Coturnix japonica: one gene and its partners. The protein of the gene in region 6 purifies or fractionates together with the protein of the main gene of each other region. This does not show direct contact. Links are inferred from orthologs where the notes say so. Each region holds a gene or a part of one and is shown on either strand. Other genes may lie near its edges.

What was found.
Region 1: the proteins of DBN1 (region 6) and TWF1 purify together in Homo sapiens (affinity purification with mass spectrometry; 3 studies listed by BioGRID and IntAct, with this or other methods). This does not show direct contact. The link is inferred for Coturnix japonica from reciprocal best matches to the Homo sapiens genes DBN1 and TWF1.
Region 2: the proteins of DBN1 (region 6) and GSN purify together in Homo sapiens (co-immunoprecipitation; 3 studies listed by BioGRID and IntAct, counting the BioPlex papers as one, with this or other methods). This does not show direct contact. The link is inferred for Coturnix japonica from reciprocal best matches to the Homo sapiens genes DBN1 and GSN.
Region 3: the proteins of DBN1 (region 6) and HOMER3 purify together in Homo sapiens (co-immunoprecipitation; 3 studies listed by BioGRID and IntAct, counting the BioPlex papers as one, with this or other methods). This does not show direct contact. The link is inferred for Coturnix japonica from reciprocal best matches to the Homo sapiens genes DBN1 and HOMER3.
Region 4: the proteins of DBN1 (region 6) and TMOD1 purify together in Homo sapiens (co-immunoprecipitation; 3 studies listed by BioGRID and IntAct, with this or other methods). This does not show direct contact. The link is inferred for Coturnix japonica from reciprocal best matches to the Homo sapiens genes DBN1 and TMOD1.
Region 5: the proteins of DBN1 (region 6) and HOMER1 purify together in Homo sapiens (co-immunoprecipitation; 3 studies listed by BioGRID and IntAct, counting the BioPlex papers as one, with this or other methods). This does not show direct contact. The link is inferred for Coturnix japonica from reciprocal best matches to the Homo sapiens genes DBN1 and HOMER1.

Annotation. Positions count from the first base shown.
Region 1 is NC_029516.1:27,268,151-27,272,706, reverse strand, and holds part of TWF1 (twinfilin-1), read left to right. Parts: intron 1-1,574; coding exon 1,575-1,652; intron 1,653-3,173; coding exon 3,174-3,352; intron 3,353-4,556. UniProt on the Homo sapiens protein: Actin-binding protein involved in motile and morphological processes. Inhibits actin polymerization, likely by sequestering G-actin. By capping the barbed ends of filaments, it also regulates motility.
Region 2 is NC_029532.1:6,892,621-6,897,176, forward strand, and holds part of GSN (gelsolin), read left to right. Parts: intron 1-394; coding exon 395-528; intron 529-759; coding exon 760-850; intron 851-1,246; coding exon 1,247-1,417; intron 1,418-2,232; coding exon 2,233-2,407; intron 2,408-2,674; coding exon 2,675-2,799; intron 2,800-3,209; coding exon 3,210-3,287; intron 3,288-3,788; coding exon 3,789-3,849; intron 3,850-4,277; coding exon 4,278-4,447; 3' UTR 4,448-4,556. UniProt on the Homo sapiens protein: Calcium-regulated, actin-modulating protein that binds to the plus (or barbed) ends of actin monomers or filaments, preventing monomer exchange (end-blocking or capping).
Region 3 is NC_029543.1:2,761,317-2,764,901, forward strand, and holds part of HOMER3 (homer protein homolog 3), read left to right. Parts: intron 1-470; coding exon 471-659; 3' UTR 660-3,585. UniProt on the Homo sapiens protein: Postsynaptic density scaffolding protein. Binds and cross-links cytoplasmic regions of GRM1, GRM5, ITPR1, DNM3, RYR1, RYR2, SHANK1 and SHANK3.
Region 4 is NC_029547.1:62,602,403-62,607,649, forward strand, and holds the start of TMOD1 (tropomodulin-1), read right to left. Parts: upstream 3,273-5,247; 5' UTR 3,256-3,272; intron 983-3,255; exon of another isoform or gene 870-982; intron 823-869; exon of another isoform or gene 691-822; 5' UTR 647-690; coding exon 527-646; intron 1-526. UniProt on the Homo sapiens protein: Blocks the elongation and depolymerization of the actin filaments at the pointed end. The Tmod/TM complex contributes to the formation of the short actin protofilament, which in turn defines the geometry of the membrane skeleton.
Region 5 is NC_029547.1:12,909,935-12,915,051, reverse strand, and holds the start of HOMER1 (homer protein homolog 1), read left to right. Parts: upstream 1-1,664; 5' UTR 1,665-1,723; coding exon 1,724-1,728; intron 1,729-5,117. UniProt on the Homo sapiens protein: Postsynaptic density scaffolding protein. Binds and cross-links cytoplasmic regions of GRM1, GRM5, ITPR1, DNM3, RYR1, RYR2, SHANK1 and SHANK3.
Region 6 is NC_029528.1:11,963,589-11,968,928, reverse strand, and holds the start of DBN1 (drebrin), read left to right. Parts: upstream 1-1,729; 5' UTR 1,730-1,839; coding exon 1,840-1,925; intron 1,926-5,340. UniProt on the Homo sapiens protein: Actin cytoskeleton-organizing protein that plays a role in the formation of cell projections. Required for actin polymerization at immunological synapses (IS) and for the recruitment of the chemokine receptor CXCR4 to IS.

The DNA of each region.
Region 1 (4,556 bases), on a different chromosome or scaffold from region 6:
CCACTACTGAGATACAACTTCTTTAACAGAAGCAGTGATGTAGGTGGAGAGAATTGACATGTTTCTCATCATGAATGTTTTCTAGAAAAGAAATTAAACTGCAAGTTGGCCAGTGAGATTCCAAGACCAAACTGTAATTGAGGTCTTTGCTCTGCAGAAAGTTGAAATACAACACGATATTCCTCTGTTGTGAATTTTGTGACCTCTGTATGTGGAAGTGTATCTCATGGATAGTGAGACTGTTTCTCCATCAATATTGTCTTGTCTCAGAAAATGATTCCAGGAGCTGCTGTGGTTCTGGTGTCAGTGCAAAGGGCTGCTGTGTCGGTGTTGTTTTGGTGTGCAGGCTTGATATAGAAGTACAGAGAACAAGGGAATGTAGACCTGAAGAGGACAGTGGTTTCCAGGGGAATTGGGAAGTCTGGAAAGTGGTGTTTGTGTGTTGAATGGAGGTGTGAGGAAAGGCAGAGAGGGTCAGAAAAGCTGATAACTGCTGAGTGGGAAGGTGGGCTTGGACTGCAAACCCAACGCAGTTGTGTTTGTGTAAATGGCAGCACTTTGTCTCTATCCCACAGCCCATTTTGGAATTCCAGAATGGACCTGCCCTTTGCTTTTATGGACTTCAGTTTTACATGTTTTGAATATGGACAGAAGCCATCTGTTCCTTCGGCCTGGGCTATAAATAATCCCTTTTCTTTGTTTCCTGGTTTGTTGTTTGCTTTGCGGGTGCTGTCCTCAGTGCTGTGGGGATTACTTAAAGGACCAGCTTGCAACAATTGTTTGTCAGTAAATGCAGGACAGCCCCCTGTCTGGGGTATAATTAAACTGATCCGCACAAGGATTACTTTGCTAAGCAGCTGAAATTAGAGTATTGTCTGCAGGACTCGAGCGTGGTTCTTCCTTGTGCTTACAGAAGGGGTCTGTCATTCTGGTGTTGTAATGTCAATGTGAATTAGAATGATTTGAAAGTATTTTTAGCTACTTTTTCTGAATTCATTTAATCTGCCCTATTGTGATGGGTCAGGGATTGAAAAGTATCATCAGAATGCTTGCAAGGATGTAGCTTGATAGAAAAGATAAACAAAGAGCATCAGCCTTCCTTGGTACCCTCCAGAGAGGCATCCTCAGGAAAGGCAGGTGATTCTTGCAGACAGGCTGTAATGTTTTCCTGGCAGGCATCAAGTTTGTTTCCTCAGGCCCGCTGCAAACTTTCAGACTTCATGAAGCTCCTGTAATTTGAGATGCGTTGTATTTCTATTGCGTTACTGTGTGAACTGTGAAACCTGAGAGCGACAATGTGATGTCACCTTTAATTTTCACCATGTTGAAAATGATACGGTATTGCAAGTAAGCAGGGCTGTTCTGCAGTATGTTTTAATGTTGTCTGTGATCTTTCTGTGGCATGCCTGTGGCTGGAACGGCGTTTGTCAGCTCCGGTGTCCCTTCTTCAGTCCAACATCATAGCGATGGGCCAGGTGTATGCTTTTCCAGTGTTGTTTTTACCTTCGTGAGTGCTCTTTGTTGTTGGAAAGAAAAATGTGTTCATTAGCTCACTTTTATTTTCTCTTTTTCAGCTAGTGAGAATGTTAAAGACGTCTTTGTTGGAGCCAGAAATGGAAAGTACAGGATTCTGAAAATAGTCATTGACAATGGTTAGTCAAGTGTTACTATTTTTCTCTGATTCTTTTGGATATTTTCATAACTATTTGAGTGATTTTTTTGTGTACAATTTCTTTCAAAAACAAGAACACTCCCAAGCTTAATGTCACCGAGGTCTTTCATATCCTGAAGGTAGAGTTTGAGTTGTGGTGATGTTTAAGGTTTCATTGCGCTATTATTGAGTTAGAATACCTCTTCCAAATGTCATTTCATATTCTCCCCAAACCCACTGCTCCTTTCAGATAGGAGTACATGAAATGCCCACATCATTACCAAAGTTCATTCATTTATGGTACACTGAAAAACCCGTTAGCAGGAGGAAGGTTTATGCGTACATGCATACACATACATACATTTATTGTTAGGTAAGTAACCTGCTGTTATCTTCTTTGTGTTTGCTTAAGTTTTCCCTGCTTTTCTCAAGGTAGCGGCAGTAACATTAAAGCTACTGCTATTATACAGTGTGATCACTGCAGTAAAGCGTCTCAGCAGCGCAGGTTACTAAGTCTCGACATATATTCTTTTTTATTAGGAAAGTTAAAACAGTGTGCTTGTGTGTACCTGATACTTCCTAGTACAAAATGAAGGTCGTAAGTAGGGAGTGTCTTCCATTTTTATCTTAAACTTTTTTCTCTATGTGCTTGTGTGTGTATATATGTATACACAATTTGTCTGTATGTGTCAAAAGATACTATATGTACCAACTGCTATGGGCCCTTGAACTGCTGTTGGAACCATATAAACAAGGTGTTTCTCCTTTGGCTGTGAATTATTGAAAATTGGTAAATGTTTGGAAGATACTGAATAGTATTTTCCTTTGGAAGCTGAGATGTGATTTATATGTAAGAGAGAAATCTTGTTGCTACAGTTGTTCACATAATTAAATCTCATCTGAAGTATTCTTTATGGACTTAAGCCAATTATACACAATAAACAACTTCAGTAATTTAAAGAGACTGAAGTTATGAAGCTGTATTAGAAAGGGGTTTATCTACTTACACAGTCAAATTAAAGTGATTACTGCAAGTATGTTCATTCCAAATTCTTTTAACTATGCAACTGAGTAACTGTCTCCTTTCAGTGAGTACAAACATTGGAGTGTGTTAAAGCATCAGTAACTCTGATTTTAATGTTTAAAAACCTACCCTCATCTTATTTTTGCTTAAGTATTTCATGTTAAAAATAAATGAACTAGCAAAGGGCAGCTTTTGTTTCTTCTCTGTACACATTACGCTAAACACTGATATCAGTCACACCTCTTCAGATCAAAGAACTTGATGACAGCCAGTGTACTGCTCCTCAACTAATTGCATTTTGGTTAAAGTAAGTTAGGGTTTATGCGTACACAGCTTATCAGGAACTCACCTGCTATTGCACTGAGTGCTCCTGACTCTCATTCTTGTGGGCATGGTTACAGAATATGAAGCGTTTGATTAATTACAATTAATAACTGATTTTGAGAAGCATTATCAGCTATATAATTGCTAACTTGTAGTTTTGGTTATTGGTTTTAGAGCAACTTGTTCTGGGATCCTCTAGACGGCCACTTGGATCATGGGAAAAGGATTATGATGCTTTTGTTCTTCCTCTTCTTGAAGACAAGCAACCGTGTTACATATTATACAGATTAGATTCTCAGAATGCTCAAGGATATGAATGGATCTTTCTTGCATGGTCGCCTGATCACTCTCCTGTATGTAATAATCATGGAATCATAGAATGACTTGGGTTGGGAGGGACCTCAAGGATCATGAAGCTCCAACTCCCCTGCCACAGGCAGGGCCACCAACCTTCACATTTAATACTAGACCAGGCTGATCACTGTTTGATCCAAATCCTAAATGAGAAGCATTTGGGGAATGAAGCATTCCCCAACCTTCACCACACTTTCTGCCAAAGAAAATATGGAAACATCTTCCTTGAAGCTGTTTGTGAGTCTGGATGGAGCGCAGGTTGTCCAGCTTATTTCTAGCTCAGTCAAAGGAAAAGCTCACATTTTTGTGCTTTTTATTTGCCTGACTTTCTGTCAGTCTTCATGGAAATAATAGAACAACATAGGACAGAAATCCCTGTTGGTGTCATCATAGAGAGAAAGATGACAATTTGAGCTCCAGCTGCTTATTCGTTTTTGTTTGCTGGCAGACCAGTTGGCGTTTGTGGATCTGTGACCCACCTGAGAATGACTTCGTTCTTAGTGAGAATGGGAGGAAAGGGAAGTCAGCCTTAACAGATTCTAGGAGAAACTGGGGGAGGACAAACTCAGTCTAGTCCCAGATTCCTGCACTACTTTGAATAGCACTTAGGAAACAGTAGGAGGCCAAGAAATTGAGTGCATAGAAGAAATTGAGTGGAAAAGATGAGGGTATTGTGATGAGGATGGCATGGTGGTGAAATAAGCTGGGGAAAATGGGACTGCAGGGAGAGGAATATATATGTTGGACGCAAATTGATAGGAAGCAAGCATCATTAAGTCTTCTGCTCTAGAAAATCTCCTTTTTCCATCCTGTAGTTGTACTTGAACTACTAAATAGAAAATAATAATAGGTTATTTGCAGTCTGCTCTTTCTGTAATGTATCTGTTAGTAGACAGACTGGTGACAAATGAACTAAGCTGTTGTGTTTGTTTTTGAAATAGAAGTAGTAAGGATTGTGTTCTGTTTTTTTAAATATCATTATATTTTTAAAGCACATACTCTAAATAAAGCTGCACTTTGGCTTTGGAATTAGTTTAATAATAATGCATAGTAAAATCCCTTACTGTGCACTTGAGAATTTAATGGCGTATATTAGTATCATGCTCCAGAGCTCATTCTGTGATTTCATTTGTCATTAAGAAATGCTGTTTCAAACCTCACTTTCAAGTCTTCAAATACTTGTTCAAGAAGGCGGTTTGTTTG
Region 2 (4,556 bases), on a different chromosome or scaffold from region 6:
GCTGAGCCATGAGTCCCAGCCAACCTGGATAAACTAAAATCTGTTCATCATAACAGAGAATTCAAAATGATCTTGTTGTGTACAAAATGGGCATCAGTGCTGGTAGTCTGACATTTCTCCTGTGGTTCTCACCATTTGAAAGGCCTGATCAAGATTTGGGAGTTCATAGTAGGATGAATGAAATGTTCCTTGCTTCCAGGCCTGGCTGCAGGCTGTGGAATCTGCTGCGGGTGGGAATGACGGAGTTTTAGTAGCTTTCCCCAGCAGGTGGGGCTGCAGGACTGCGAGTTTCGGGAGGCTGGAGGAAGCAAATAGAACAGAGGCTCTGCTGAGGAACATCTGCTTATTTTTATTTCACTATATTCTGCTCTTCTCCCTCTGTGCTCTTTTCTAGATTTGGAGAATAGAAGGCTCAGAGAAAGTGCCAGTGAATCCTGCAACATATGGCCAGTTCTACGGTGGGGATAGCTACATTATCTTGTATGACTACCGGCATGCTGGAAAGCAGGGGCAGATCATTTACACTTGGTAAGAAAGGTTGCACCTTTGTGGAGCTGTGAAGTCTGCTTCTTTGAGGGTGGGTCATCCATATTTCCCTCTTGTAATCAATCAGTCTGACTGTCTAAGACAGTGAACTTTGTTTTCATGCTGAATGAAGTGCTGCTGAGGTTTGATAGCCCAGAAGTGTTTCTTACATCTTGATCTCTGTAAGGTGCATGTGCTGGGGAAAAGAACCTCACGTTTTTCCTTGTCTTTCAGGCAGGGTGCTCATTCCACTCAAGATGAAATTGCGACTTCAGCATTCCTCACAGTGCAACTGGATGAGGAGCTGGGAGGCACCCCTGTGCAGGTGAAAAACAACAACAAACAAAAGCAAATGTTAAAAAAAACATGAAAACAGACAGAGAAAAAATAGGATAAAATCAGTTTTCACAAGCCTTGCAGGTGGCAGCGAGCTGTCTGCTTTCTAGTGTTAAGAACTCTCAGAAATTAACAGTCTGCATTTCACATGAATTAATGCAACATGTTGGCAGCCAACAGGACTTGCTAGGAGAAGCAGAAAACACGCTGGGTAGATTTAATTACAATTTTTGCAAAGGCAGCTGGATTGGTGAAGACTATAAACTCCATAAGTTCTGTAAGGAGAGTCCAGCCAGAAATATGGCAGCCAAATCTATTTCCAGCATATGTTCTGCTTCTCTTCATCAGTGCCTTAAAGCTGACAGCAGGTTATCTTTTTCTTTAGAAACGAGTAGTGCAAGGAAAAGAGCCACCTCATCTGATGAGCATGTTTGGTGGAAAGCCCTTGATTGTTTATAAGGGTGGAACCTCTCGGGAAGGAGGCCAGACCACACCGGCACAAACACGGCTGTTCCAGGTCCGGTCCAGCACCTCGGGAGCTACCAGAGCTGTAGAGGTATGTGAAAAGAGAGCCAGCTTCTGTGTTGTATACATAAACTGCAGTGGGGACACAATCTCTCTGCGAATGAAGGCCAGACTGAGCTTTCTGATGTAAACTGTAACAAATGTTTAAACCTTTAGAAACTGTTAAAAGATGTCTCTTTTCTGGTGTATAAGTGCTGACAGTCATTATGATCTTTTCAGTTTATAAATATCACCTCAAACACACTGACATGGTTCTCTCTTAAATCCACGGTAGATGTTACACCTGGCATAAAACAATGATTTTCAAATACTGTTTGGTGCTGGATATTGTGACTTGTTCTAAGCTTGTGTGACCACACTGTTACCAGTGGGAGACTGCAAGTGCTAAAGACTCTAAACAAAAAATAGAGCCTGTGCCAGGGTACAGGGTGAGAGCCCTACTGATTTGAAAGAAAATGCACAAATAGCGACAAACATTATGCTAATGATTCGTCAGCCTGAGCAGCAGGGATGGAGCTCTAGGATAGTCTCCCCAGCAAGTTCTTCTGTATCCTGACAGAACCATAAAGACTGGCAAAATGAGAGCCCCCAGCATCTGAGCAGGAAGTCATATGTATCTGTAGACTGTATAAAGAAGCACAGGTTCATTTACTCTTCTCATATGACTAAGCCTGACTCATTACCAGATACAGGCAAATATACAACATATATTGTAAGCCTACACGCTTGCATGGAAAATCTTGTTTGAAATTTGTTTAAGGATAGATACTAACTTTTATTTTGAAATTACGGGCTCCACACAGCGAATGATAACATCTCACACGTGCAACTTTCTTTTTTTTCCAGCTGGATCCTGCTGCCAGTCAGCTGAACTCCAATGATGCTTTTGTCCTGAAAACTCCCTCTGCTGCTTACCTCTGGGTCGGCCGAGGCTCCAACAGTGCAGAGCTGTCAGGAGCACAAGAGCTGCTGAAGGTTCTGGGAGCTCGCCCAGTACAGGTTTCTGAGGGTAGAGAGCCAGGTGAGGGACACACATGAAGTCTGAGGTCATTTCTGTGTAGCTGCACTTTCTCAATAGTTATTTCCTGGATGTTTTCTTTTTGTCTCAGAAAATAGAAATGTGAACGTGATGCAGGGTGGCTTCTCCATTCATAACGTTTAACAGCAAAGCCATGTTTGTAGTCCTCTAGGACTTTCTGGGAAGAATGCTTCAAGTCCAACCCAAGCCATACTGCTACTGTGTTTTCCAGCTATAGTTGAGGCAACAGTGTATCTTTTTCTTTTCCAGATAACTTCTGGGCGGCTTTGGGTGGAAAAGCTCCCTACCGAACCTCTCCTCGGCTGAAGGACAAGAAGATGGATGCTCACCCCCCTCGTCTTTTTGCCTGCTCCAACAAGAGTGGACGCTTCACTGTGAGTATCTGGGAAGACAGTCAATTAATTCAACATTCATCTGACAAAGCTGAGAGAAACTTAGTCTGAGTGTGCCCTGAGTCAACTAATGAGCTGCTACACCCAATTTTCCTTCGTAGTGTTGCCTCCAGAAGGGAAAGTATTAGCACCATTTATTTTTTTGTGCAGAGTTGGCAGCTACCTCTATAGCAACTTGCTGAACCATTAGACTGGTCCTCCCCTGGTTAAACACCAGCATTCCAATTCCTAAGATTTTAGCTCATGAATCTTTCAAGAAGCAAGAGGCAGCATTAGAAGTTTTAAGCGTGAATGAAAGGCTGACAAGAGGTGAAACTGGAGCCCTGCTTCTTCTTGCAAAGGTAAAGTGACACTTGCAGAATGTCCTCATCTTTTGATCCTATGTTTTTCAGATTGAGGAAGTCCCTGGAGATCTGACTCAGGATGACCTTGCTACCGATGACGTTATGATCCTTGACACATGGGATCAGGTGTGTCATGTTTACCTGTCAAGCAGAGAAGCAAAGAATACACACAATGTAGCTCTAGATTTAGAGATGCAAATTAAAATCACAACAGAATTATGAAGTTGTAGAGTCCTTTTGCCTTGGAGCCTGAGAACAAATCACCTCACCCATGCCACTAAAGAGAACTTACACCCAGAACCTCTGTTAGTTGCTGTGCATGACTCAGCCAAAAGTGAAATTAGAGATGAATTCTGTTTTATGTAAAGATGTTTAAACATCAGTTGTTTTTTCTGATGTTAAGCTTGTGTGCAACTTGTTCATGTGATTAGAATTTACAGCAGATAAACTGCCGTCAAAAAGCTTCCTGTCATCTACCAGTAACTTTATTTGGGTGGGTCCTGGCACACCAGGAGGAATACGGTGCTGTTCAGTGTTGTACTCAGTTCACTGAGCCCTTCTTCTCTTTCATGGGCACATTGGCTGTTGCTGAAACAATTAATGTGGTTTATTTTTTTTAATCTATAGGTGTTTGTATGGATTGGAAAAGATGCCCAGGAGGAAGAAAAGACTGAGGCTTTGAAATCTGGTAATGCCATGACGTTTTTCCTTCTGAAATAAATGTGTTTTTTTTATTTTCCCACTATCTGATTTTTAAGTCAGACAATTAAATATACTGAGGAATGGATCTTAATTGTAACATTCAGTGTTGAGATCAAAGTGATCACATAGACTGAGAAAAGAGGATCCCAAAGATCAGCAGAAGAAGGTATGGTATTTAGACACTGTGCTCAGACCCTAACAGCATCCCTGTGTGGGTGGTACAGACTGCAGTTATATTGGAGCATTTTATGGCCCTAACGTGTTTTCTCCCCAAGAATGCCTTATTTGTCAATTAATAATTAATTAAAACCTTATTTGTTTTAATGAAAAATCTGAAATTGTATTTCTAACATCCATCTGCTGCTCCATAAGATTTGTGCTTGATGAGATTTTCTTCTCCTTGTGCCTTTACAGCTAAACGATACATTGAAACCGATCCTTCCAGCCGCGACAAGAGAACTCCAGTCACGCTGGTTAAGCAAGGGCTTGAGCCTCCAACCTTCTCTGGCTGGTTTCTGGGCTGGGATGATGACTACTGGTCTGTTGATCCTCTGCAGAGAGCAATGGCAGATGTGGATGTCTAAGTAACAGGTTTTTTCTCTTTTTAATAAAGCAAGTTTAGTTCCTTCAGTGCCTTCAAGAGCTGCTTCCTCCTGCTGGGTGGATGCTAGCATGGCAATGATGTCAATAGCC
Region 3 (3,585 bases), on a different chromosome or scaffold from region 6:
AAGCTGCTCTGCACCTCGGGGCAGGAACACAGATGGAAGCACGATCTGTGCAGTCTCTGGGGGCACTGCCTGCGTTTGCTTATCTGAGCTAGTGAAGAAGGAGGGGATCTGTCACAGGGCTCAGCCCTGTACCCAGGCGCTGCTTTTTATGCCAGGATAGTATTTCTAACCATCAGATGCCATCACTCTTGAAGATCAGTTTGTGAGGAAATCCACACTTATAACACCAGTTCAAACTGCATGCAGATGACTGGGTTTGGGGACACATGTTCATATGTGTTTGCATGCTGTGGCTGAATGTAGGGAGGGCCCCCATTGAGAGAGCTGATGCAGACCTGCGATGTCTGGGTGTGGGCAACCTTGTGCTGGGATGCTGATGGAACTGTTTGGTGGAGATAAGTGTGGTGATCTGTGGGTAGCACGTATCAGTGCCGGGGCAGCCACCTCACTGCAATTGTGTCCTTTGGCAGGAGCTGGAGGCACGCAATGCAGAGCTGGAGCGCCGCCTTCACCTGGCCGAGCAGACGCTGGCAGAGACCCTGTCTGAGAGGGAGAAGATCCAGAATGAGGTCACCAAGGTGGCAGAGATAATGGACGTGAAGATTTTTGAGCTCAGTGAGATCCGGCAAGGACTAGCCAAGCTGGTGGAGAGCAACTGAGCAGCAGCATGCTCAGAGGAGACACCTCCGGAGGAGGGGAGCCTGACCTGGGACTGGTCACTGACAGCAATTTTGATCACAGAACAGCCTTGAGGTCTGTTTGGGCAGGATATGCCAACGTACCAGCAGCTGCCTGGACAGTGTGGTGACCAGCCGCAGCCACTTACTGCCCACTGAACAACGAGCTGGAGAGCAGAGAGGGCCTGAGCTCCTGTATCCTCCACAGGAAGCATCTACAAGTCACAGTCAGGCTTCTCTGGACCTTGTCATGGCTGTGGCACGGTCCAGAGACAGCAGCTGTCCCTCTGCTGCCTTCCCAGCCTCCCTGCTGCCACACTGTGTCTCACTGTGTCTCCAACATTTTTACAGTTTTCTAGGGGAAGGGGCTGAGCAGCCTTTGCATTTATTTTTTTTTTTTCAGTAGTTTTTTTAGGGAACCACTTGCCTTTTGCAAAATAAGCTGCTTGTTTCCCGACTTAGGGAGGGAAAAGAGGTATCAGCACTTTGAGGAGTTCACTAGCTCCTTTTCCAGCCCTAACTACATCATGTCTTTCTAACAGGATGCAACAACACTGGTTGCTGTCAGGAGCTTACAGAGGTAGCGGAGTCACCACTGCAGAGCAGGGTGCTTGCCTGCCCAAGTGCTGTTCAGTTCCAGCCTCCAGAGGAAAAAGAACTGCAGGTTTTAAAGCTCTTATTAGCTTAACACAGTGGGATTTAATGAATTCTTAAAACTTCTTTAAGCTGAGAGCAAAGGCCTGGTTGGGAAAGGGGCATTTGAGAAATGGGACATGCCCAAGGGGATGGCCAACCAACTGCTAGATTGGCATCTCTCCTGGCCTCTAAGGGCTGTAGTTAATTGAAATTAAATGGAGCAAATCACAGTTGCTCTTGTTTGGGTTCTTTTTTTCCCCCTCTCTTTTATAGGGAAACAGTCCACAGAGATGTCCTGCTCTGTGTCAGATGAGCAGTGTTCCTTTTGAAGGGTACAGGTCCCAGCTTGCCACGCTTAGCCAGATTAAATGAGAACAGGAGGCATTTGGAGCATGCTGGGACCAGTGCCCTGTGGGGCCTGTGGGAAGTCTGTGGGTTACCGTAGATGTTGTCTAGTTGTAGGAATCAAGCAAGGCCTGAGGGAGACACTGCAGAAACCTGAAAAATCATGTCTCTCTCATAGTGTCCTTTGAGCCCCCGTAGTTAGTTAGGAGCATGCATAGCCCTGTGCTGAATGACAAAGCAGTGTCTGTGTAGAAGTAGATAGTAACCTTACAGGAGTGCTGATATGGATTTTGTGGTTGTTTTTTTGCCCTCTTTGCTTCCATAGGTTAAGCAAAGACAGCAGTAACCCTGGGAATGTTTCCCAGGTCTGCAGAAACTGTAATTACTTAGCAAGCACTGGCTGCCATGTAATGCCTTCTCTGCATCCAGATGGTCCTGGGCAGACCAGCATCAAGGCAGGGCCTCCCCGTCCTTTCACTCACGGGGTGACCAAGAGAGGAACCCACATCTTCTGCACACTGCCTGCAAGTTGGGACAGGACTGGGTCTGGCACCTTGGGAATCTGCTGGAGTGGAGAATTGCTGGTGACTCTGTGCTGGATTGTGTCTAGGCAAAGCCCATCCCTTGCACAGGGATGATGAGGAAACACTGAAAGTTCCAGACCTGTGTAGCCAGGGAGGGGTGTTTCTGTTTGGAGGATAATTTTCTTGTTTTTGTTTTTTTCTTTCTTTTCTTTTTTTCTTTTTAATATTCTGTTGTTTTTGTTGGTATTGGTTTCTGTTTTATTTTGTTTTGCATGAAGTTTTCTCACAGCTGTGTAGGGGTGGAGCTGTTGTAGTCATATTTGTTTCAGGGTATTTAAGAAGGGAAAGAAGCTGGCAAAGTTTTCTGGGGTCTTGTACCCATAGCAGTGTTCACATTTTATTCCAACAGGAGGAGCCTTTGAAATAGAGATCAGCTCCAAGAAATGCCTGTTTTGTCTGCATCTGTTACTGTAATATGTGGTGATGGAGGTGGGGTTTGGAGTATGAAAGAAAAACTAAGCCAAAGTTGACATTCTGATTGTCCCTGCTCTCTCACACTTCTTTTCCATGGCTGTGCCCCACAAGGTGGAGCTGGATACAGATTCTGCCCGTGCTCTGCATCTGAGCCCATGCCTGTGTTGTACTGCTCATTGATCAGGGCTGACCTGGCCATTGTGCCACACCTGGGTGAGTCAGCTCTGCTGAGGGAGGCTGCTCTTAAGAGACAAGGGAGAGGACCAGAGTCAAGCTGCTGCATGACTGTGTGGGAGAGAGGCAGATGCAAGCTGCAGCACGGTGCTTCAGAGAGTACCTGCTGGCTGCTGCTTCCCCCCATGACCTGCCCTGACCAGGGTCAGGCAGCAGTGCAGGGTGAGACCTGGCTCTTATGCTATTAAGCCTCTTCTATTCCTATATGTATTTCATGCCCTCGAGCTGAAGCCTGCCATACTCAGTGCTGTCTGCCTCTGGAAACTTGGAGCTGCCAAGCTGCCAGCTCCCTGACAGGATGCACAACATGGTTTCCCTGCACACAGCGTACCTTGAGGCCAGCAGTACTTCGTATGCATTTGCTGTGCCCTGCTTTTTGTTGTAGTCACAGACCTCACTGTGCATCTCCATTGTCAAGAACCAGGAACAGAGGTCACTTTACTTTAGACACTTCCCCACGGGTACTAGATGCAATTCTCTTCCTTGCCAGAATAATCTGAACAGTGGCTTTTTTTATGAGATCTGTCCTGTGCTCAGCATTTGTTAAAAGTCTTTTACTGAGGCATTGCAGGGCAGCGTGATGGATGGTTCTGGGAGGCACTTTCCTTTGCAGTCTTCCCTCTTCTAAACTAATGAAAACCCATTCATCACCAGCTATTTCCACAAATGCCCTAAATCTGCAGTTAGCAATGAGG
Region 4 (5,247 bases), on a different chromosome or scaffold from region 6:
CTTTTTTGCCTATACATAGGGACGTATGAACCACCTGCAGTCTGCTGTGAAAACGAAACCCAGCCCTCAAAACCCAAATGCCCCCTCCAAGGTGACTGAGCAGCTTCCGCAGGCTCCCATGTATGAAGGCAGATCTTGCCAAAACAGAAGGGTGTCAGAACAGTGCGAGAAGCCCAAGTGGCCAATGTCATGCTGCAAAAAGCGGTGCAGAGCAACAACTGTGCAACAACAAGCAAGTTTTCCAACAGTCTGGCCATTAATTGCTGAGCCAGAAATTGGTACAGCGCTGTCACACTGCAGTGTGCGCACTGGGAATGGGCCGGGGAACAGCATAAAACAAAGCCCCATACACAGACAGTGCTGGCGGTGGCACAACTGCTTCTGCTTCTCTGGGGCCTCCTCCATCCTTGCACCAAGTGCAGGCTCTGCAGAGGATTCGGTCACGGAACAGGGCACTAGCACAGCTCGTCTGCCCACAGCTACATGGGATTTACCACCAAGCAGGTCTCATTTAAAAGCAACTTACATCAGGGTCCAGCTCTTCCAGTTCATTCTCCAACTTCCTGAGCTCCTCCTCTGTCAGGGCTCCTAGGATCTTGTCTTCATCCAGGTCCCGGTATTTCTCTAGCTCCTTTCTGTAAGACATCTTAAAGCAGTCTGTTGAATCTCACTCCTGTGCCGAAGCAGGACCTGAAATGCAAACACAGAGCATAGCACTGCCTGCATGAAACATGACCCGGCAGCCCTGCTGGCGGGGGAGTGCTGGCTATCACAGAGTTGCACAAGATTTATGCTCTAAGCGTGGCTATCTCCAGAGCTGGGTCAGATTGCTCAGGGCCCCCTGCCCATTTCCATGGTGCTGGACGCACCTCGCCCTGTGGTCTTGCAGTGTGAGACACCTCTGGGTGGGATCGCTGCACTGCTGCACCCCAAAGCCCACCCTTTGGGCAGTGCTCAAGGAGCCCCCTGGAGCCCCATGGCCATTTTCTGGCTCAGACCTGCAGAGGATACCAAACTTATTTAAAGCAAGTTTTCCTCAGCAGGGCGGTTTCTCTACACAACTTGCAGGGCAGCTGCTGTTCCAGATAGGAGAATTATCTTTAGCTTGGCCACAAAAGGGCACATTAACACGTACACAGCTCGATGGCAAGCCCTTAAATTTAGAGCCGACATCTGCTTGGATGCTCGGCCTCTCCTGGCAGGGCTGCAGTCCCCGCATTCCTGACACTCAGCACCTGGGGCTGGGGAATGATGCCTCACTCGTGGCCGCGCCAGCAGGCAGCTCATCTCCCAGCACATATTAAGCACCCACCTGGGGCAGCTCTCCCTGGCCCTCACCAGGGAGTTATCATTACAGCACAAGAAACACGGCGTCAACCAGCACCTCTGCCACTACTATTGGGAGGGACTGCAGCCACCCACAAAGCAGGTCTTCCCTGGTTCTGCAACACGTGGACAACTGCTGACTGCTGCTCACAAGGGATACGAATGCAGGTGTGCTGTCATGGGGATGAAATGCAGTGTAATAGCATCACACCTGGAGCCAGCATCCCCTCTTGGGCAGACCTGAGCAGGGTGTCTGCTGGTCCTGCAGGGGACCATGCCCACACTGTAGGTCTGTACTGCCCACAGAGGTTATTCCCCTCCAGTGAGCACCAGTGGAGCTGCATCTGTATTCTGCATCCAGTGTGATGCCTGCAGCACAACAGGGGTCTGGGGGAGCTGAAGGGGTACAGAGCAGGGCGCTACGAGGAATTCTAAGTGGGGATCTGTGAAAAAATCCTTGCCACAAAGTGATGCAGATCTTGGACAGGGACCAGATAGCTGGTGGGAGCAGCACTTGGGTTTGCAAAACTCACCTGGAGAAGGACCTGAGCAGCTTGGCTGAGCTTTGGGACTGGGCCCAAAGCTCAGGAGGATGACAGACAAACAGGTTCCAGAGTTGCCTTCCCATCTAACATTTCCACAGTTTGGCCTTAGAAGAATTCACAGGACTGTACAGCTGCCCAGATGCCTCCTCCCAAAGCCAGGATGGGAACTGGGCTGCAAACTGATCCCCACTTCTGACAAGAATAAAACAACTACCTTCTACATCCACTTCATTTACCCCACTGAAGCAATGTTCTTGCGGCTGTGATTCACATCTGAACTCACATGCTGGTTTAGCTGCCTTCCCCAGCAACACGCTGTTAAGGCACCACGAGCTCAGCCATGGTTGAAGGTCACCTTGGCTAAGCCACTTGCTCCTGCAGCAGCGTGTAACCCAGCCTCCAGGAGGCTGTTATCCTATCTTGCTTTGCAGCTTTCTTATGTCAAGAAGCACGTGTGCAGCCTGCAGAGTAGCCAAGCACCACAGAATTATGTAGGTCTGGATAAAAACTTCAAGATCATCAAGTTCAATCATCCCAGTTCTCAACAGAGCAGAGCACACAGTGTCAAGGACACCCCTGCTCAGTGAGCAGCGTCCATCAGGCACATCTGCATCCTGGTGATGGCATAAACTCAGCCCAAGATCTGCATTTCCTCTGGACTGACAAAACCTTTATGGCCAGCAGCTGTTAACGTAAGGCACAATGTGAAGACTTCAAGATATTTGAAAAGCAGCATCTGGAAGGCATCATTTTGGACCTGTCAAAGCACACCTGTTCTTCCCAGCCCGCTCACTGCCTGCAAGCCATGCAGCTCAGCACTGGCTCTCATTAAGCAGCCTTCATTATCAGCACGCTGTTAATGCAACACAACCGAACAGGCAACACGTGGTGGGGTCAAACTCTACCCAAGTCCCATCGCCATCCATCTCAGCGCCACCGCTGCCTCTGCGTACACCTCAACACGGCTCCGTGTCCTCCTCCTTAGCGCCAGGCTCACCCGCTGTTTCTTAAATGCTCGAGCATTTAAGAATACCCACGACAAGCCCCGGCTCACACCTGAGTCACAATCAGCGCCATCCGCTCAGCTCCAACTCTGCAACTGCAAACGTGCTTCGGGAATCGCAGCATCCTCCGACCCGCGCTGCCATTAACCCCGACGGCAGCATCTCGGACGGGCAGAGCATCACCGCACTGCGGGCTCATCCCGCACATCCATCGCCGCTGCCCCAGGGAGCAGCGCCGGTCTCCGCAGCGTGTCCGTCCCCGGGGGCTCCAGATTTACCCGTTCCCGACCCCTCAGGAGCAGCAGAACACGCGGGTCGGGCTGCGAAAGGAGCGGCGCCCTCCGAGCCAGCACGGCGCGGCGCACCCGGAGCGCACGTACCGCAGGCACCGCACGCGGAGCCGCCTTCGCTTGTCGCCCCGCCTCGCTCCGCTCACCCCGCAGCCCGGCCGGCACCCAGATGCGGTGCCGGGCGCTTCTCCTGCCCCGCCGGGCTCTGCTTGGCGCACAGCGGACGGTCCATGAGGGCAGCAGCGCAGCGATCAGCGCGGTACGGCGGGGAGGAGGATCTTTCACACCCGCCTCCAGCCCGGAGGAGAGGAGCACAGCCCCCGCTTCCTACACATCCCACACAGTCTTAGAGCCTGCGATGAAACACACACCTGGCTGCCCACAGACACCATTGTGCCTCAGGGCACATCTCTGGGTGATGCCTTAGAATATTCTTACCCTTAGGGGAAACAACAACAACCCCCAGCCCAATATTTTGGAGAAAGCAATAGGAATGTGCTGGTTTGAGCACCCCAAGCCTGCTCAAAGTGCTAGGTGGTATGGTGTACCAAGAGAAGGAGCAGCATCCAGAGGTAAGAGGCAGCACAACAGGGAGCAAAAAGCAAGAATAACTTTGAGAGCAAGGAGATCAACGTTGCAAACAGCCGACTGTTGAACAAATACAACACATTAAGGTATTCTGTTCTCCCTGTCACACTCTGGTCAGACCTATTGTAATCAGAACAAGCAGCAGCAGCAGCCCCCCAACTGGCTGCCCCTGTTTTATAGCTTTCACATGGCAGCACATAGTACAGGGCATCCCTCTGGCCAGTGTTGGGCTCTGTGCCCCTCCAGCTCCCTGTGCCCCCTCACTGCTGGGCAGCACCAGGAGCTGAAATGCCCTTGTCTCTGTGCAGCGCTGCTCAGCAACAGCGAAACAGCATTGTGTTATCACACTCTTTTCATCCCAAACCCAACACGCAGCAGCTGTTATGAAAAAAATCAGCTCTATTCCAGACCAAATCAGGATGCTCCTGCATGCACAAAGTAATTCTGTTGAGTTTGCTTATACAAAGCAGCTAGGAGTGAAGACTTCAGACTTCACCCATGCAAAAGCAATCATGCTAAACAAGTACAGTCCTTGCTTCTTAAGGCTGTTCAGATTCCAGAGCAGCCACCAGCTACAACTGGGAGTGGGGGGGGATAAGAAAAGAACCTCAAAAAGCATCTTCATTCTCCTGAAGATCTGCCAGGCTCTTTCCAAGTGACAAAAATTCTACTCAAAACAATAAATCAGGGAGAACCCAGCAATGGCAATAATCATGCTTTAATAGCCACGAGATGAGAAGCCCACCAAAATTAAGGGGGAAAAAAAAAAAGCCTCCAGAACAGTTCAGCGCTGTTCTACTGATAAATAACTTTTTATTTATTTAGTATTTCCACCCAAACATTCTGGTATTACAGTAGTAAACTGTTATGGTTTTGCAATTTGGTTGGTGTTGGTATTCCACATCAGAACACCATGCTAATAATGGGAGTAAAGGGGACAAGTTTTTTTTCTGTGAACTGCCTTAAATGGGCATGTGGGGGGTGGCACCAGAAGGGAAGTGAGGAAGGGGACGGGGTTGCTGGCCCGGCTCCCTGCGAGGAGACAACGTGTTCAGAGCTTCCTGCCTTCCACAGCTCCATCGGTGAGATTGGGGACTTGGTATTCTCTTTGAAACTCTCTTGTTGTTGTTTAGTGTTATTAGGTTATTAAACTGCCATTCGTTCTCAGATCACCTTTTTTTCTCTCCTTACTTTTTGTTAGACTAATCGCAATCTCCCTTCCTTCCCCGTCTTCCTAAACACACGTGGCCGGGCCGCCGCGATTGCCGCTAAGAGAAAGAGGGGGGGGGCTTTTGTTCCTGCTGCCGGGTTTGTGCCCACTGTCCCGGAGTGAGCTCTAGAGAGAACTCCGTGACATTTTTGTGGAGAATGCGGCAGAGCTCGGGGCAATGTTTTGGGCTAATTAGGTGGTTTTTTTCAGCAGCCCTGTATGTAGGACTGATAGTCCCTAGGTTCCTGTGGTCCTGGCTTAAGGACTTCCTGATGTTGGGGGTA
Region 5 (5,117 bases), on a different chromosome or scaffold from region 6:
ACACTCAAGGTAGTTTAAAAGGCTTGGGGTAGCTACAACTTTTCTCGGACAGGGAAACACCTGAAAAACTGCAACCTGTCTGTGGAGGAGCAAGGACTTATTCCGTCCCCGTTCGGCCGGCACGCAGTGCCAGCAGCCGTCCTTGGGTGATCCCGGCATGGCCGTGCGCTTCCCCCGCGGGTCAGGCTCGGGCTCGGTCCGCCCGCAGGCAGTGGGAGCGGGGTGCCGTACCCCCGCCCCGCTCCCGGTCCGCCTCCGCCACACCGTGGGCGGGCGCGGCGTTGCCCCGGAGACGGCGCCGCGGGGGCGGCCGAGTGCCGGCGGCGGCCCGGAGAGGAGCAGGGAGAGGAGCCCGTGGAGGAGCCCGGAGGCGGCCGCACGGCGCCGACCCGCACACACGGCCCGCCGCCCCCCCGCGCCGCCATTGCCTATTATAGAAGCGCTTCCGGCGGCGCGGGCCGCTCTGACATCATCCCCCGCACCCGGTGACGTCAGCGCCGGGAGCAGAGCGTGACGTCGGTGCGTAGGGAGCGCGGTGACGTGCGGTACTTAAAGCTCCGCGGGCGGAGGATGGAGGCAGAGCGAGCGGCTGCTGCCACCGGCGTTGGCTGCCGGGCGCTGTGGGGCCGCGGCCGGTTCCGTTCCCGCTCCTGCCCAGGTTCCCGGTCTCAGCCCCGGGGCGGTGGGTCGGCTGCCGGCCGGGCCTGCCCACCGCCACAGCGGGCGGAGGCAGAGGTGTGAGGCGGAGGCGGGGATGCGGGCGGCCGCAGGCAGCGGCTCGCAGCAGCCGGGCACCGCCTGACGCGCTGCTCGCTCCCCCCGCGTCCCCCGCCCGCTCCCTCCGTCCCTCCTTTCCTCCACCCGGTCCCACCCCGCTGCCGGCTCTGAGCCCGCGGCCCCGCCGCAGCGCACCCTCGGCCGGGCGGCGGCCGCCCGTCCCGCCCCCCGCCCGCTGGCAGCGCCCGTCCCGCCGCGCCCCGGCGCGATGCCCGCCCGCTGTCCGCAGCAGAAGGCGTGACGGCCAGGCGCGGACCCGCCGCGGGAAGGAGGAGCGGCGCCCCGCGTCTCCGCAGCCGGGGGCGGGCGGGCGGATCGCGGCGACCCGGTGCCCGCCGCCTGCAGCCCGATGCCCGATGCCGGTGCCGCGGCTCGCTCTGCCGCCTCGGGGAGATGCACGGCTGCCCGCCGCGCTGCTAGGGGGAGCGGCGGCGCGGAGCCCTGAGCGCACCGCCCGCCCCGTCCCGCTCCGCCTCTGAGGCGCCGCGCCGAGCGCTCGGTGGCCGCGCACCGCCCGGCGACAAGCGCCGCAGCCGCCGCCAGCCCCGCGCGGAGAAAGGGGAGCGCCTCCCTCTCTCGGGCCCTCCTTCTCTCCCTGCCTCCTCCCACCCGCGGTTGGGGATCCGTCCGCACGCCGAGCCGCCGCCACACGCCCGCTCGGGGGCCGGAGCCGCTGCCTGCGGACGCCCGGCGGGGCCGGCGGCCATGCGAGCCCGGCCCGCGGGGGGCGCTCCGTAGGGTGCGGGCGGCTCGGCTCGGCTCGGCCGCTGCCAGCCGGCGGCGCGACCCGCGGGCCTGCGCGGAGTGGCGCGGGAAGCCCGGCGGAGCTTCCCCACCGCCGCCACGGGGCTGCGGAGCTGCCGGCGCGGCGAGGCGCGGCGCGGCGAGGAGCGCCCCGGGGACGCGGCCCGCGCGGTACCGCCGGTGCCCGGCGCCGCCGGCCGCCATGGGGTAAGCACCTCTAAGCACCTCGCGGGGCCGCCGGGCTGCGGCGGGGCGGGGTGGGGTGGGGTGGGGGCGGGAGCAGCGGGGAGCAGCGGGGAGCGGGTGCCGCTGCCATCGGCGCTGAGCACGGATGCGGGGCTCTGCCCGCCGTAGCGCCGAGTGTCGGATCCGTGTCGACTGCCCGCCGGGTCCCTGCCCTGCCCGGTCGGGCCCGAGAGCGGTCGGCTCGGGCTCGGTGTGGGGAGAGAGCTGCAGCGCGGCCGGGGCTGGTTGTCCTGGAGCCTTCGGGGGATATCGGGCGTGTAAGGTGCCCACATGTGAAGGAGGCTTTAAAGAGATCCGCTTCACAGCGCGTCCCCCGAACGCGTGGGGACATACGCCCGAAATTTTAAGGAGATGGGAAGGAATTAAATCTTCAAAATGAAGCTAGCTGCATCAGGTCTAGGAGACATAAAAGTGGCATAGATACCTGTGGAAACTTTCCACGTTTGCAATCTCGCCTTTGTACGGAGAGATGATGAAATAACGCTTACTGCTGTGCTTGCCTGGTAACCTCCGGATGGAGTGGAAACTCGTCCATGTTCCAAAGCAGCAGAAGCACAACGTGATTTGGATAACCGCAATGTAGAGGCAGGCTTTTAATGCATCAACAAGACTCTGGTTTTCTGAGACCGCTGTATGTAGCTCAGTGTGTAAGAGTTGCAACTCGAGTCGTTTGGTTTTGGGTCATTCAGGAATTTGGGTGTAAATTAGCATAGTGCAGTAACGTGGAGCTGCAGGTGCATCGCTCCTCCAGCTGTCAAAGGCACATGGAACTCTCCAATGTACGAACCTGCCTGTGGTGGCGGTGGCAGCTGTTCCCCAGCACTCCGAGTCAGCGGGGCACGCTCACTGTGCAAGGTGTAGAAAGGAACGTCTTGCTAGTCTTCAGCTTTTATTTTCCATTAAATATATATACATGTATATATGTACAGAATAATCCCAAGCTTGCAGTTGTCTGCATCTTCAGGGAAGTGGTCATATCTTCTGGCTAAAGGCTGAATGGTAGTACAACATTTGGGGGCTTTATCCTTAAAGCTGCTGGACAGGCACAGAATTTTTCACCTTTTAAAATTCGAATGATGGGAAAAGATAACATTTATTTAAAATCAATGTTATTTGCAGGCATGCTGTTTAGGTGTAGCTTGCTGCAAATGCTGAAAAACATTGAGTAATAAGCATTGTTGCATTGTTTTTTCTCTAACAGAGCTTTCTGAAGACAAATGTCTGATTTGGAAAAAAAAATATATATATATATATAAAAAGATTGAGAGCCCCCTCCATTTAATAAACTTAGTGCTGCTGGTGCATGAGTGCTGCAGTTTCTCAATGAACAAACTGGTATCTGTAGAGAGTGGTGAAAAGGCTGAATACTGAAGAACTATGCAAAAAAAAATATTTGGAGAAATAATGCAGGGATGTTTTTGTGATGACTTCAGGGTGATATCCTGGCACACTGAGGTCAAGATGGCAAAAGTTGTTGGCTTGTGTTTTGAAGAGCCTTCAGACGATGCACGTTGAGGTATGGCAACTGAGTTCCTTTGCAGACAGTCTCTTAGCAAGATGGAGATAACCAGAAATCTGAGCGTGTGTTATTGGTGGCCCCCCCTGCCATGCAAGTCTGGGGGAGCACATCTAAGCCTGTGCCAACCCTCTAGACCTGCAGTTATGTACTGGGCATTTGCTGATGTTCAGAGTCTTCTTTCAAAAGCTGTTTTGAATTAGCATCTAAATGCAGTTCCCTATGGATTTTGGGCTATTTTGAGACCAACGTGTACTAGAATCTTAACACTGCAGTTATAAAAATAGTCTTCTGATACTCTGTTAAGGTCTTAAAATCAAGCCCGTTAGAAGCAGGTTGGAAAATGACTGATAATCATGCGTTCATCCATGTGAGGACTGCTTCAAAAGTAATGCCTTCAATTTTATTCTGCTGGATCACGGCATCAAGGGCACGTGTCAGTGGTATGGCAGGAAAGCTTGAACTGTCCCCCTAATAATCCATTCCATGTTGTTGCTGTGCCAGATGGCAGTAGAGGGGCGGTCTGACAAAATGGCGTCTGACATGGAAGTGTGAATGAAGTGAAGGTGTGGCATTAAATTCCCCCATGTGGAAAAGGTAGCACCCACTGACATTCACAGACACTTGCTGGAAGTTTGTGAAGAGCAACCTGTGGATGTGAGCAGAGTGAGGCAGTGGGAGGTGTGTTTCAGCAGTGGCAGTAGTGGTGTGAAAGACAAATCGTGCTGGGGACAGCTCTGCACAGCTGTCAGACCACGAAATGAAGAGCATCTTGATCTGCTGCTCCGTGCAGGTTGGCTAATGGTAGCGACTGTGCTGAAAAAGTGCATTTTATAGAGAAAATGTTCTCTATCAAATGGAGTTCTTGTGCTCTTTCTATCTGTTGAGGTCCCCATGGAAATAAATAGAATGCATTACTTTCGGAACAATCTTTGTATATTCGGTTGCTATCATGCATGAGTTCATATGGTGGATCTGTAGTATCTGGATGGTGGAGAGTTTGCTTTTATCCATGGTCTGGGCAAAGAAAAAAATGGAACTGGGTAGAAATAATAGCTTAGCTAATCAGCAATGGCTGTCTTACTTTATGGGTTATTATAAAGAATTCCCTGTTCTGCCAGTATAACTGACCCTGCTTGGCTGGTTGAGTACCATCTGACAAATGAAGCAGCTGAGTGGTGCATACCTAGCTGTACATTGCTGGTCTCTGAAGTTGTACTGCAGTGAAATACTTGAAGCTGCAGTGAGAAACTTGAAGCTTGAGAACAGCTTATCGGGTTCCTTGTACTTCATCCCTGATGTATGTGTGTGTATCCCTCTTGACTAACAGGAGAAGGTAAATGAAGCTCCAGGGGCAGTACACGTCTGCTCTGGTTCCTCTACCTGCCACTCTCATTCCCTCTTCTATTTTGTCCTTCCTGTTGCATAAGAAGTTCTGAGCAGTAGTCACTGTCAGTGCAGGCCATTTGTCAGTGCGAGCCTTTCTCTTGGATTGCAACCACTGGATGACTGTTCTTCAGTAAAAAAGCCTTGACTTTTATATAAATCAGAACTCAGTATGTTCTGTGCTGGTTCATAATGTGTTGCTTTTGTATTGCCAATACAAAAGTATTGAGCAATAATAATAATTTAAAAAGGAGGTAGTATTGTACAGTTGGTCATCTTTGAGCAAAGGTTTGGTTATTTTAAAAATCCCAAAGAAGCAGATCTCAGGTAAACATACTAATAATGTTAAACTAATGTATACACAGCTGATTTAAATTTTATTTTGGAAGCTGCAAATTACTGCCTTATTTTACTGGTCATTGGCACTGCCTTTACTTGAGCTGGTGGC
Region 6 (5,340 bases):
ACCCCCCCACTTTCCAGTTGGGCTGCGTCTGATGTAGCCACGGTGCTTTTAGTGCCTTGAATAAACACTTTTTTGCGAGTGCCCGCTGTCTGGGGACTGTGGTTTTGCTGGGCACGGTTTGGTGGGGGCAGGAAGGTCACACATGGCCCTTGTCCCGCCTGGAGTCCTGCTTTGTTTCCGGGGTTTCCCCTCCTTTGCACCTTGGCAGATCCCTGGGTTGCCCTTGCCTGGTTTTAGCAAGCAGAGAGCAGCGAGGCAGCAATTAATCCAGGGGGCAGAGCAACAGCAGCGCTGAGCAGGAGATGGTGCTGAGCCGTGACCTCGCAAGGGCATCGCACTTAGCCAGCACCGTCCCTGTGTTCCTGCTGTGCCCCATTGCCCGTGCAGGGACCGAGTCACCGGCACGAGCAGCTGGAGCACAGCGGTCCTGGCCGTGCCCCGAAGGACGGACGGGAGGCACCGCCGCCCGGTACAGGCTCTGGAGCGATGGATGTGGGGCCGGCCGCTCCCAGCGCTCCGATCCGACAGCTGCAGCGGTCAGTAATAACTGCAGCCCTCAACGTGATGAGCGATGTATGGAAAATCGCCTCGCTCATCCGCTGGAGCGTTCTGCCGGGGGCAGGAACCCCCGCTCGCCCTTCTGCAGGTGGCCAAGTCCCCCCCGCACTCTGCCCTTCCGCAACCCGCAGCCTCCGCTCCCTTCTGCCGGCCTCACCGAGCGGCCCCCGCCCTCCCCGCGCACAGGAAGGAGGGTCGCGGGTGGGCTGCGGAGGTGGAGCCCGAGGAGGGGCCGCGCCGCTCCGAGAACAAAGCCCCGCGGCTCCCCGCGCCGCCCCCACCCCCAGGGGCAGCTGAGCCCATCGCGGAGCGGCCGCGGCCGGCAGCTGCTCGACAGCTGCTGCCCAAACCCCGCAGCATCGCAGGGCGGCTCCGGATCGGGAACCGCTGCGAGCAGGGCGTGGGCAGGGAGCAGCGAAACGCTGCGTCCCGCTGTACATTGCGCCCACCGGCACCGTGCCCTGACCTTCAGGGATCGGGACCCCGTGTTTAAACCCACTTTACTGCTCGGGTTGCTGCGGGCCCGGCTCCTGCCTGGGTTGGAGACGTGGGGCGGGCAGGGTGATTCCGTGTCTGTCCCTCGCAGGAGGGTGCTGACCCGTGTGGGAGCAAATGGAGACGGCTGCACCTCGGAACCACAGACGGGGGCAGCTTGGAAAGAACTTTATGGGTTCATGCAGAGGCACAACCTGGGGGAGATGATGTCCGCGTCGAGGGCTGGAAGGGCCCGGGGTGGGTTGGGAGCAGAGGGACACATCTGACAGCAGCGGGGATGGAGGGGAGCCCTTCATCCCATTGGCAACCCCAAAGGCTGGGCCTGGAGCACTGAGGGCACAACGGGGCAGAGAGGACAGTGTGGGGTCTTCGGAGAAGAAAGTTCCAGGGCCGGGGGTGCACGGGGTGGGGGAAGTTGAGATCACGGGGATCCCGGGGTAGAGCGGACCGAGGGCGCATCCGCGGGATTCGGGGTGCCCAGAGGGAGCGCAGCCGGGATTTGGAGCCGGGGGTGCAGAGCGGCTCCTCGGGTCGAGCTTCGCGCTCCGCTCCAGGAGCTCTGCCCCTCGGCGGGTGCCGGTGGGGGTGGGTGCCCCAGGGGTCGCCCCGGGGGAGCGGCGGGGGCCGGGGCGGAGGGGGGGCCCGCCGTTCGCGGCGCTAGGACCGGGCGCGGCGGCGGGCGGAGCCTCCCCGCCGCTCGCCCCTCCGCCCGGCCGCTGCGGCAGTGTCTCGGAGGCGGGCAGGCGGCCGGTCCCTCCGGTCCCCCGGCAGCATCCCGGCCCCGCCATGGCTGGCGTCGGCTTCGCGGCGCACCGCCTGGAGCTGCTCGCCTCCTACCAGGACGTGATCGGCGAGGACAGCCCCACCGACTGGTGAGCGCGCCCGTCGCCGCCGCCGCCCCTTTGTCCCCGCCGCCCGGGGCCCTTTGTGCGCGGAGCCGCCCGGTGCACCGAGCGCGACGCAGCCGCCAACACCGGGACCGCGCCCCGCGCTGCGCCCTCCGTGCCGCCCCGCCGCCCCCCGCCACCTGCACCGGGCCCGGAGCCCCGGCACACAAAGGCGGGCGGGGCCGGCGGGACGGCGGAGGAGGTGTGCCCGGCCCAACGCCCCCGGTGCCCGCACCTGCCCGCCGCACCGCACCGCACCGCACCGCATCGCACTGGGCCGGGGCGCGGCCCCGCTTTGTCTGCGCCGGGCGGCACGTGGGGGCACCGGGAGCCCCGCTCCGAGCCCCGTCTCCTTTCTGCTGGCGGCACCGCGCGTGGGGAGCGGCGGGTGGGGAGGGCCTGGGGGACCCTCGGTGCTGGGCCCGGTACTGGGATGCGGTGGAGTTTTGCCATTGTCTGGAACCGGGGGTGGGTTAGCGGGGACGGGGAGCCCTTAGCCCGGTCTCGGCGGAGCCAGGCCCGCAGCTGTGAGGGAACTGGCGTCCCCGCTGCTCCCGGTTCCCGCAGCCCCGGGGGGAGCGCTGGGTACCCGGTCCCCGGGAGGGCCGTGCGGGGTGCCCCGGGGCTGGGATGCGGTGAGCGGAGCAGGGGGTGGCGGCACTCTGGGGTGCTCCACCTGCACCCTGATCCCTCTGGCACCCTGTGCTGGGGGCCTGGTGGTTCCAGGCTACAATGCAGCTTTGATAAGGGAGCAAATCCCACCGCAGCTCCATCGCTGCCGCCCCCAGCGCCCAGCTGCCCTCTGGGACCCCCTGCCCTTGTCCCCTGGGTGGTCGCGTGGGGGTGCTGTGCGCACCCCAGAAGCCGGGACTGGTGCGTGCCATGCGTGCTGAGCTCCTGCCAGGCTGAGTGCTGCTCTCCTGCTGGGTGTCCGCTGGTTGGGCCTGAGCATGGCCCCCCCCCACCAGTCCCACTCTCTGGGTCCCTCCAGCCCTGCTGGTGGCACGGTGGGTGAGTGCGGAGCGTGTTGGTGGCCAGGAGGCAGCTGTCAGCCCCGGGTACATCTGGCTTCCCAGCATCTGCTGCAAAGGATCGTTCCCTGCCAAAGCTGCTGAGAGCAGCAGAATCAATTCCCTGGAAGGCGAGCACTGGGAGTGGGCCACCCCTCTTCCAGTATTGAACCCCGCAGCTCCTTTGTTGTGTCTGAGCCCCGTGCTCCCCATCTCCTCCAGTCCTCCATCACCCTTGGTGCCCAGCGCCAGCAGGAGCAGCATCTCCACTGCAGGGCCTGGTGCCCATCTTCGGTGCAGGATGGGGAGCGGTGCTGGGGGACCATCGTGGCTGGGGGACTGTCCCCAAATGTTGGAGCTGGGCAGGGCGAGCCGGGGCTCTGAGGACGCTGCGCTGTGCGGCTCTAAGCTGGCTCGGGGGATGCCGGGATCCCCGTGGCCACGGGATGTTTAGTCTGGGATTTCCCCCGCCCCAGCCCAGTCCTGGAGGGTCCGAGGCTCCCCTCCCCCTCCCCAGCCTCGCGGAGGCTGCTGGGGCCCATTACTCGATAGGAAAGGAATTTGGTGCTGCTTTCTGAGCACGCCGACTCCCTAGAGCTCGCAGCCACATTGGAAACACATGTGCCCGGGTTGGGGCAGGCAGAATAGGGCACCCCCCCATTCCTGACCCTGCATGGGGGGCAGACGGCTGCGGGAGAACCGCTGTGGTCTGGCACAGAGCAATGGAGGCTGCAGAAGGGCAGTGGGCTCTGCCCCCTTGTCAGTGATGGGGAGATTCAGGTCACAAGCATCCCCTGCTCCCTGCCTGTCCCTGTGTCACCCATGGGTGATGTCAAAGCTCGGGTGCTGGGGAAGCTGCATGGGGGGATGGAAGCATGGAAGGAGATGGTCCGTGGGGTCGTGGTGCTGTTGGTCCCTGCTCATGGTGATGCTCTGGGCTCTGTGTGGGGCTGGGAACACTGGAACTGTCCCTCCTGGTGCTGGAACAGGCTGTTCTGAGGGCAGAACCCGCAGTGCTGAGCTGCAGGAGCACCTCTGGGTGCCAGCAGCAGCAATGTGCTCAGGGTGCTGCCCTACACAGGGGGATGAGGGGGTGGGCAGCAGGCAGCGGGTGCTCTGGCTGCTATGCCTTGGCTGTGCCCTACTTTTGCATCCTGTTCACTCTGCCTTAAGAACCCCACGGTCCTGCCTGCAGCCCCCCACATTGCAGCCCTGTCCCTGGGGGAACAGAGCAGAGCCAGGGCTGGAAAAGCTGCCTTTTTCAGCGCTGTGAAGCCTCCCTGCTGCCTCCAGCCTGGGAGCTGCGTCGGCTCAGGCGGCCGATTAGCGGGATTTGGATGTGCGGATTAAAGTCAATCTTGTTGGTGCAATTATCTGTAGCTCACTGCGAGAGCAGGGCTGGGGGGAGACTGGGGGCTACGGGTGCTGCAGGGCGGAGGGAGCCTTGTTTCCCCCTCTTTGTTAGGCAAGGCCTTAAATTCCTGTTATTTCTCAGCTGGAAGGAGGCAGCTGAGGCCCAGGATGGAGCTGTGTGGCTCTGGTGCGGGGCTCTGCCCATGGGGGGCACCCGCTTTCCATTCCTGCTCCCATCCCTGCTTTCCTTCACCACTTCCACTTCCCATCCTCACTCCCCATCTCCCATCCTCGCTCCCTATCCCCTTCTTGGAAGCCACCAACTCGGGTGGGCTCCTCCCTCCCCAGCACCGCAGGGATTTTGGCTCTGTGTTGCTGCCGATCGGCAGAGCTGCCCGCCCACCCAGCAAAACGATAATCTGGGAGGGGGTTGGGGGGGGAGTCCGGCACGGTTGGCCCCGGCTCCCCGGGCACAGCGCGTGATGGTGGTGGGTTTGGGCGCCCGCCAGGTCCCCGCTGCCTGCCTGCCTCCCCCGCTCCCCTCCACTAATCACCTCGTCATCGGGGCGAGCTGCATCCCAGCTGGGATGGGGGGTTGCCATGGAGATAGAGGATGCTGGTTGCTTAGCAACAACCATCCCCTCGCCCACCCGCCCTGGACCGATTCAGGGCACGGCGTTCTCCCCCCACGTTGCTGCCTGCCCACACTTGGGGACTTGCAGGGGGTCCCGTGGAGCCCCGGGTGGGCTCATTGGGGCACAGCGGGGGTGCGAGAGGGTTTTCCCAGCCGCGGGGAATGGTTTCCAAGGAACAGTCTCCATGACGGCCCCAGCACACCCCGGCGGCACATTGATTTGCTGCCGCTGGAGCTCTGGCGTCCTCCCCCAGCCTGGTGCCTGGCGGGCCAGTGGCTCACGCAGCCAGGAACGTGAGCGGCCCCATGCAGGCTGTCCCCAAAGCCAGCTGACCCCATGGGACTGCAGGACAGGGATGGGTGTATGGGCAGCTGGGAGCACTGCGTCATGTGGGATGAGTGC